Tribolium castaneum: one gene and its partner. The protein of the gene in region 1 purifies or fractionates together with the protein of each later gene. This does not show direct contact. Links are inferred from orthologs where the notes say so. Each region holds a gene or a part of one and is shown on either strand. Other genes may lie near its edges. The genes, in order: ATP6AP2 and V-type proton ATPase catalytic subunit A.

Evidence for each region.
Region 2: the proteins of ATP6AP2 (region 1) and V-type proton ATPase catalytic subunit A purify together in Homo sapiens (co-immunoprecipitation; 3 studies listed by BioGRID and IntAct, with this or other methods). This does not show direct contact. The link is inferred for Tribolium castaneum from reciprocal best matches to the Homo sapiens genes ATP6AP2 and ATP6V1A.

What each region holds. Positions count from the first base shown.
Region 1 is NC_087398.1:10,554,930-10,559,281, reverse strand, and holds the start of ATP6AP2 (ATPase H(+)-transporting accessory protein 2), read right to left. Parts: upstream 2,971-4,352; 5' UTR 2,856-2,970; coding exon 2,813-2,855; intron 2,770-2,812; coding exon 2,405-2,769; intron 2,359-2,404; coding exon 2,224-2,358; intron 687-2,223; coding exon 402-686; intron 352-401; coding exon 172-351; 3' UTR 1-171. Other genes in the region: Hs2st (heparin sulfate O-sulfotransferase), read right to left, coding at 3,091-3,552, 3,603-4,030, 4,075-4,183. UniProt on the Homo sapiens protein: Multifunctional protein which functions as a renin, prorenin cellular receptor and is involved in the assembly of the lysosomal proton-transporting V-type ATPase (V-ATPase) and the acidification of the endo-lysosomal system.
Region 2 is NC_087402.1:9,102,511-9,105,887, forward strand, and holds the end of V-type proton ATPase catalytic subunit A, read left to right. Parts: intron 1-823; coding exon 824-975; intron 976-1,026; coding exon 1,027-2,164; 3' UTR 2,165-2,564; downstream 2,565-3,377. Other genes in the region: Sas10 (something about silencing protein 10), read right to left, coding at 2,577-2,669, 2,720-2,856, 2,903-3,249, 3,300-3,377. UniProt on the Homo sapiens protein: Catalytic subunit of the V1 complex of vacuolar(H+)-ATPase (V-ATPase), a multisubunit enzyme composed of a peripheral complex (V1) that hydrolyzes ATP and a membrane integral complex (V0) that translocates protons.

The DNA of each region.
Region 1 (4,352 bases):
TTTTTGTTCAATGCGACCAGCCGTGTGAAGGGAAAGTCCCTTCTTTAATCAAGGAAGCTGTGATCACAGTATTACATAAGTTACACTAATTTACACATCTAGAATGGTATTTTACAGAAAATTTAACAGGAATATACACACAATAATACTATCCGAACTCAACGTTCCCACTTAATTATCCTTCTTGAGACGAGTGCTCGTCATCCTGTAAATAATGGAGTCCCGTCCAGGATCCATTTGAGCAATTGCAATGCAAATAGCAAGTAGAGTAAACGTCATTGCGACCCCAAACCACAGAATAATATTAAAAATAACTGGATAATCCTTGCTGTAAAACTTGGCAGGGTTCACCTATAAAACGATTAGTAAAAAAAAACAAAAATCACTATTACTTATTTTACTTTGGTCTCTTGTGTGTCCTTGGGTTCAGGTTTCTTTTCTTGCAAAATGTTTCTAGCACGTCTGGTGTGCACAGCATCGCTTGTTATGACACTGACCAAAACCTTGTCCTTGTAGACTTTGGTGAAAACAGAATTCAAGTGAAGGATTGCATCATTTAATAGCTGTTTGGCTTCTTTAACTTTGGTCGAATTCTCGCCGTACAAGTCGATCAAAGGGTGCAGACTTTCGATTTTGAACCAAAAGACATCGGGAGTGCCATCCAAGTGTAAGCCTGAGTTTTGAATCTAAAAAAAAGTATACAAAATACACTCAAAAAGAGAAAAAACTGTGTTTTTCCATGAAAAAAAAAATTTTTGCTTACAGGCTGGGATTCTAAAATTTATAAGTTATGAGTAAAGACACCCGATCTTTTTAAGAGCTTTTCTTGAAACTCGGAATAAATTTGTTTCGTTAAAAGTGTAAATATTTCGCACCTTTTTTATTTTACCGAAATTCCTAAATTGACTTGTATCCTAAATGTGATTTAAACATCTTAAAATTGTGTTCTAATTCAAAATAGGATATTTTTGCATTTTTTTTATTAGGATTTAGTCTAAAAACAATACATCTGATTTTTAAATTTCTTAAAAATTTTGTAGAATTGCATCAAAAATTATTAATTTTTTAGGCTTCTAGTCTTTCAATTTCATAGTTTCTTTTAGTATTTCAGTCATACAGTTTTTATTTTTCTAAGTATTTCAGAGTAATTTTTCCATATTTCATTTTCTTATAATTCCAGTTTTTCAATTTCTTACTATTGATTATTAAATTATTTTTTAAGGTTGTACTGTTTTTTACTTCTGAAGATTAAAGAGCCCTTGCACAGCATTGTTTTAGTCAAGTCACTTTAAAAAAAATGACTTACCTTCTCACTATAAATTTTAATAAACAGTATAACAAATTAGAAACATTAGGCTTGTTAAAACTATTGAACGCGTAAATATAATGTAAATTTTTGTAAAAAATATTCTAGAAGTTGTGGACAAATTATACAAAAAAATCTGGATATAGAAATCTACTGAAAATAAAAATATTTATTGAATGAAAAAATATTGATAATGCCTGATATTAGAACTAGTATTAGTATGAATTTTCTGAGTTCATTTTATAAGTATGTCAACCTAGAAAATGAACTGAAAAATTTTTACAGTAAAATAAAACAGCAAATTTACAATACTATTTAAGTCAACAATTAATTACTTTCTTTATAGCTGTATCTTTATGCAGTAAAGAATTATAAGTTTTTTTGCAAAACGTATTTTGTTTTGTTTGTTTTTATAATGGAATTTACTGCATGAAAATTTATGTTTTTTTTTTCTGCAAGAGGAATTAACAAAAAATGTAAACTAAATAAAGTTTTTAACATCCAAAAAATCCGGTCTAGTTATAAATTTAGTTGACCAGTATAAATTTAAAAATCTTAAATCTGTAAGCAAAAATATTTTCCTTTGATAGAAAAACATTATTTTTGTATATTTTTAATTTATTTTTTGCTCCTAAGTCTACTTATTCTAATCATTTTTCTCTTTTTCTCTGAGTTGCAGTGTCACTGCATTGTAAAACAATTATTTTGCGCTCTTTTTAACCTAATCTAACACTTTAACACCCCATTTAGGGGGTAATTAACTATATAGAATTGCTTTGTCACGCATTTTACGTGAGTACATAAAATTTCAATTCATTCGGACAACAGGAAATAATATCTGGTCAGAAATGAACTTTTTGCCACATATCCAATAATTTTACGTCAAATAATTGCCAACCAAAACAACTACAACTGACCTCGTCTGCAATGCTGTTCAAGACTGTAATTTCGTTCAAAAACGCTTGGTCTTCCTCCACGCTAGCTTTGAGATAGTTTAGGACTTTCTTCGACTTGTCGAGTTTAAGATTTCTGAAAACTTTATGCTTGTGGAGCTGCAAGTAACTAATTAGGGGGTTGTGGTCTAGGTCCGCCTTATACCTGATGCAAACTATCACCAGCGCTAATTCGCACCAAATGACCCTCAGTTTCGGGATACCTTTGCAAAACCCGCCTTTCCAAAGCTGAGAAAACATCAAATTCGTCAACGTTCGTTTTAAGCGGGAAATTGTGCCCTTTGCCGTTGCCAATGTCCGAAGTGCCGTCAACGCTGACGGTCACCACAGCCTTGGCCAAATTAAAGGGGTCCTCAATGTACAAACCATCCCAGTTCGAGTACTGCTCAGTCGAGAAACCCAAAGCACTCGAATACACCTCCTTCAAAATGCTCTCTTTGACGTGGTCGTGTCCCTTGAAGAGCAGACTTGGAGGGTGGTGAAGAATCGTCAGTTCACCATTTGCGGAAACTGTACGAATTTAGAAAAATTGATTGTTTGGACGATTTCTCACCTGAGGCGCCCAGAAATGCGACACAAATTAACGGAACGATCATTTTTCGGTCTAATTTTCAGAGTTTTGGAAATTTGAAGTCATATGACATTAAACTAACCACACCACCCAAATGTCATAATCATATGACAGTCTTGTGACAGGTGAAGCGGCACGTGCGCATGCGCGCAAGCGCCAAATTCAAACGCACGATTAAATAATCTCAATTTATTATAAATAAGTACATTAGACAGCGGTTTAAGTCGTGCACATAGAAAAATAATATCTCGCGGCGTGAGTTAGTTGATTTTGGGCCGTATCTTCTCGTACATGACGTTCTGTAGTTTGTCTTTAAGAGTGTGTTTTTTAATAAAGTGGAATTGGTCCAAGGCGAACTCGTAGAGCTCGTTTTCCATCTGCCACACTGTGCTCTCTTGGATTTTCTTGACGGTGGTCGGAGAAGGCGCGTCCTTCTGAACGGTCTGCCTCAAGTGCGACTTGTTGCTGGTGAGGTAGTGGTTGAACGCGCCTTTGAATATCCGTGGAAGGGTTTGCTCTAAAACGGCAACAAAGTCGTTGATCTCGTCCGTTACTCCCACGAGGAGGTAATTGTTGACTAAGTTCTTCTTTGCCTCGGTTAGGGCCCACTTATTGCCGGGCTTCCAGCAGTTGGCGGCGTGCCCGCACAAGAAGGGGATCTGGAGCCACATGTGGTTGGGGTCGCAGTCAGGGAGGTTTTTCTCAACGCATTCGTCGAAAGACTGTAAATTGGGCGTTTACTACGTTATGTGGCCGCCAAATGGGGGTTTACCATGGTGTTGCCGTGCTTGCGGCGCACCAGATAGGGCCGGTAGTTGTCCCCGTATCTGACAAAGTAGTAGTAGGAAATGAACCGCTCTAGGGGCTTTCGGAGAATGTTGATGAACAAGGGCTTAGGGCCCCCGAATTTCGTGAAGTCGATGAAGGCAAAGTGGCCGTGGTAGATCCCCGGTTTCATCGCCTTCCAGGTGGTGACGTTATGAACGAATTCGTGTTGATTGTTTAGCGATAAAACGTGATTATTGGCAGTTATGTTCACGTGTAAAACATGGAATTTATTCTTTTTACACAAGTCGTAAGCGACGCCTATGAAGCTTGTGGATCCAGTCTTTGGTACTCGATTGTATACAACTACTAAATCGTCGTTCTCTAACTCTTCTCGACTCTGTTGTTTACGGTCGTTTTGATTTGCATTGTTTTCTAGAAAAAATTGCAGCGAGGGGTGCGGGAATAGTGATACGTACCAAGGTGGAAGATTTTTTCTTGAAGTCGAACGATTTGAATTTGGTAAATTATTGCAATAAAGGTCATAACAGTTATTGTTAAAAGGTACCCTAACCTTACGCTATTCATCACCGGTGGGTATTTTGTTGACCTTTTTTATCGAAAAATAATATGCATGGTTTCGAGTATTTTATTCAGGAAACAAACAAATCCTATTTGTTTTATTAATCATTGCTTGAACTGAATGGTTTCTTCAAACACCTGATCACTACCGACAATGTGCTGCGCCCTGCGCAAG
Region 2 (3,377 bases), on another chromosome or scaffold:
ATTTTTATGAGGAAATTGTTTAAATAAATAACTAATTACATTATAGTTATTTAAGCCAAAATTAAAAAAAAATTGAAAAAACAATAATAATAGAGGCGAACAGACATCTGAAACTTTGGACACGTCGACTTAAATATTTTTTTACTCTAAACCGATACAAAAATTGTTCAAAGGAAATGAGTCTTTCTAATAAGTAAAATGTGTTAAATTGTTCTTAGGTAAGTACTTTATAATAATATAATAATAATAAAAGAGCCAGTATCAAAATATGTGGAATTGACAAAAATAAATAAATCTAATCTAAAAACAAAACAACAAAAAAAACTTTTAAACGTTATCACGATAATTGTGATTGTAGTTAAAATTTAATTTGCCATGAACTCGAGGTTTGTCAATGCAAAACTAATGGCTACCTAATTCGAATTATTTTAATTCTGGATTATATCTTAATTTCTCGTTCTGTATACGACCAGAAATGTTTGAAACTTAATTGAAAAGGTCAAATAGAGAATCAAGCTAAGAATAAATTTCACACAAACCAGCCATGGTGAGATTAATTACCCAAGCAAGTTCTGTATCTTGACAATAAGAGCTAATCAAAACTTTTTTGATTATTTTCGTGTTTAGCTAGAGAAAATATTTCGGAAATAGCTATTTTTGAGTTGTGATATTATTTGTGGAACTTTGAACGTTCAAATGTTTTTTAATTTTAATTATAATTAAAATTTAATTTAATTTAATATTTAATTTTAATTATAAAAAGCCACTACTTTTAATTATTTTTCATTTGGGGAAAAAATTAAAAATTATCATTACGCTACAGGAAGTCGTCTTGGAGACGGAATTCGACGGCGAGAGGACCAAATACACCATGTTGCAAGTGTGGCCTGTGCGTCAGCCCCGTCCTGTCAGCGAGAAATTGCCAGCCAATCACCCCCTATTAACCGGTCAACGCGTACTCGACTCACTTTTCCCGTAAGCCCCCTTTCAAAAACTAGTCCCTTTTCTCTACCAATTTTTATTTAGGTGCGTCCAAGGGGGTACCACCGCCATTCCCGGAGCTTTCGGTTGCGGTAAGACCGTAATCTCGCAATCTCTCTCCAAATATTCCAACTCTGACGTTATCATTTACGTCGGTTGCGGGGAGCGTGGTAACGAAATGTCTGAAGTATTGCGGGACTTCCCCGAACTGACAGTCGAAATCGAAGGCCAAACAGAGTCTATCATGAAACGTACCGCTCTTGTCGCCAACACCTCTAACATGCCTGTAGCCGCCCGTGAGGCTTCAATTTACACCGGTATTACACTGTCTGAGTATTTCCGTGATATGGGTTACAACGTGTCGATGATGGCCGATTCCACCTCGCGTTGGGCCGAAGCTTTGAGAGAAATTTCCGGTCGTTTGGCTGAAATGCCCGCCGATTCTGGATACCCCGCGTATTTGGGGGCCCGTTTGGCTTCGTTTTACGAGCGTGCAGGGCGTGTTAAATGCTTGGGTAACCCTGATCGTGAAGGTTCCGTTTCTATTGTCGGGGCCGTATCGCCCCCTGGTGGTGATTTCTCTGATCCCGTCACCTCAGCTACCTTGGGTATCGTACAAGTGTTCTGGGGGTTGGATAAAAAACTAGCCCAACGTAAACATTTCCCTTCGATCAATTGGCTGATTTCCTACTCTAAATACACGCGCGCTTTGGACGATTTCTACGATAAAAACTTCCAAGAGTTTGTCGCGTTGCGTACTAAGGTCAAGGAGATCTTGCAAGAAGAAGAAGACTTGTCCGAAATCGTGCAACTGGTCGGTAAAGCCTCCCTAGCCGAGACCGATAAAATCACTCTTGAGATTGCCAAGTTGCTTAAGGAAGATTTCTTGCAACAGAATTCGTACTCGTCGTACGATAGGTTCTGTCCGTTCTACAAGACGGTGGGTATGTTGAAAAATATGATCGGTTTGTACGATATGTCGCGACATGCTGTTGAAAGCACCGCGCAGTCTGAAAATAAAATCACGTGGACCGTGATCAGGGATTCCATGAGCAATATTTTGTACCAGTTGAGCAGTATGAAGTTCAAGGACCCAGTTAAAGACGGCGAGGCGAAAATCAAAGCCGATTTTGACCAGTTGTACGAGGATATTCAACAAGCCTTCAGGAACTTGGAGGATTAAATTAGTTTTATTGTAGGCCGTATATTTAACCTCACTATAAAATTGCCGTCTTTCGATATTAATGTACAATATGTTTATAAATGAATTAGTTCATAGGTCTAAGTCCTATAGATTAGAGGTGAGGGTAAATTGCTAAATTTCGTCCCTTCATTCCAGTTACTTTTAAGGAATTTTTATTTTCGTGTTTCCGTGCAATTATCAGCTTTCCAGTATTATCGGGACCTTTTTTTCTTTACATTTTATTTTTTCGTTATTTACGCATATTTCGATGTTGTATATTTTATCATGTTATTCAAACGGCTACTTGTACAGTTATCTGTGTTAATATTAAGTGAACTAGCTAGAAAATAGCACAATAAATTGTTTTATTGTAAACAGAAATAAAAGCATTGTTGTTTCATATGCGTTTTTATTAAGTCTTAATTTTAATGCTCTTGGAAACACTTGCTTTAATCCCGGAAAGCTCCCCACCATATCTCGTCATTTCGGTTCGCGGCTCACGAACCTAAAAATAGCGCAATTAAATTTAAGAAAAAATACTAAAAGTTGACATACAGCTCCTCTCCTTCGTATTTTTGCTTTTCTAAACTTGTTCCTATGCTTCACTCTTGGATTTCTTTGTTCCTTCTTTCTGTGCGGCGTGAGACCCTTATTTTTGGCAATCTGGTAAGTTATAGCCCTCTTGCCAGGATCTACAACAAAACATGACTAAAAAATCGCAACAAACAAAAATCAAACCATTCTCGGGAACATTTGCCTCTTCGTCTTGCATTTGCTGTTCATTATCTGTTGCTTCTTTTTCGTCCACTTCTGGTTTAAATTGGACTTTTTTCCCTGCTGGTTTCTTGTCTTTCTTTTCCGTTTTGTTAACCAATGTGCTCAACACCTTTAATGTTTTTTTCGGAACTTCTTTTTCTTCTTCATTCAAGAGTAACTCAATTTGGGGCTTAATCACCTCTTCGAAAACTGGCGTCATTTGTGATAACAGTTGTCTGTATTGGTACAAACGTTTTATGATTGGGTGGTTTTGCACGTTAACTCTTGAGGCTTTCAACAGTAAATACATGTTGATGTTAACGCAATAACTACAATTTTGTGAATTAGGAAAAATAAAATAGAAAATTGAGAAAAATACTTTAAAATTAATTCGTGGTGAGTCACCACAAACTCCATTGCTGAACAGTTGGGGATTTGCCCCTTTTTAAATTTAACC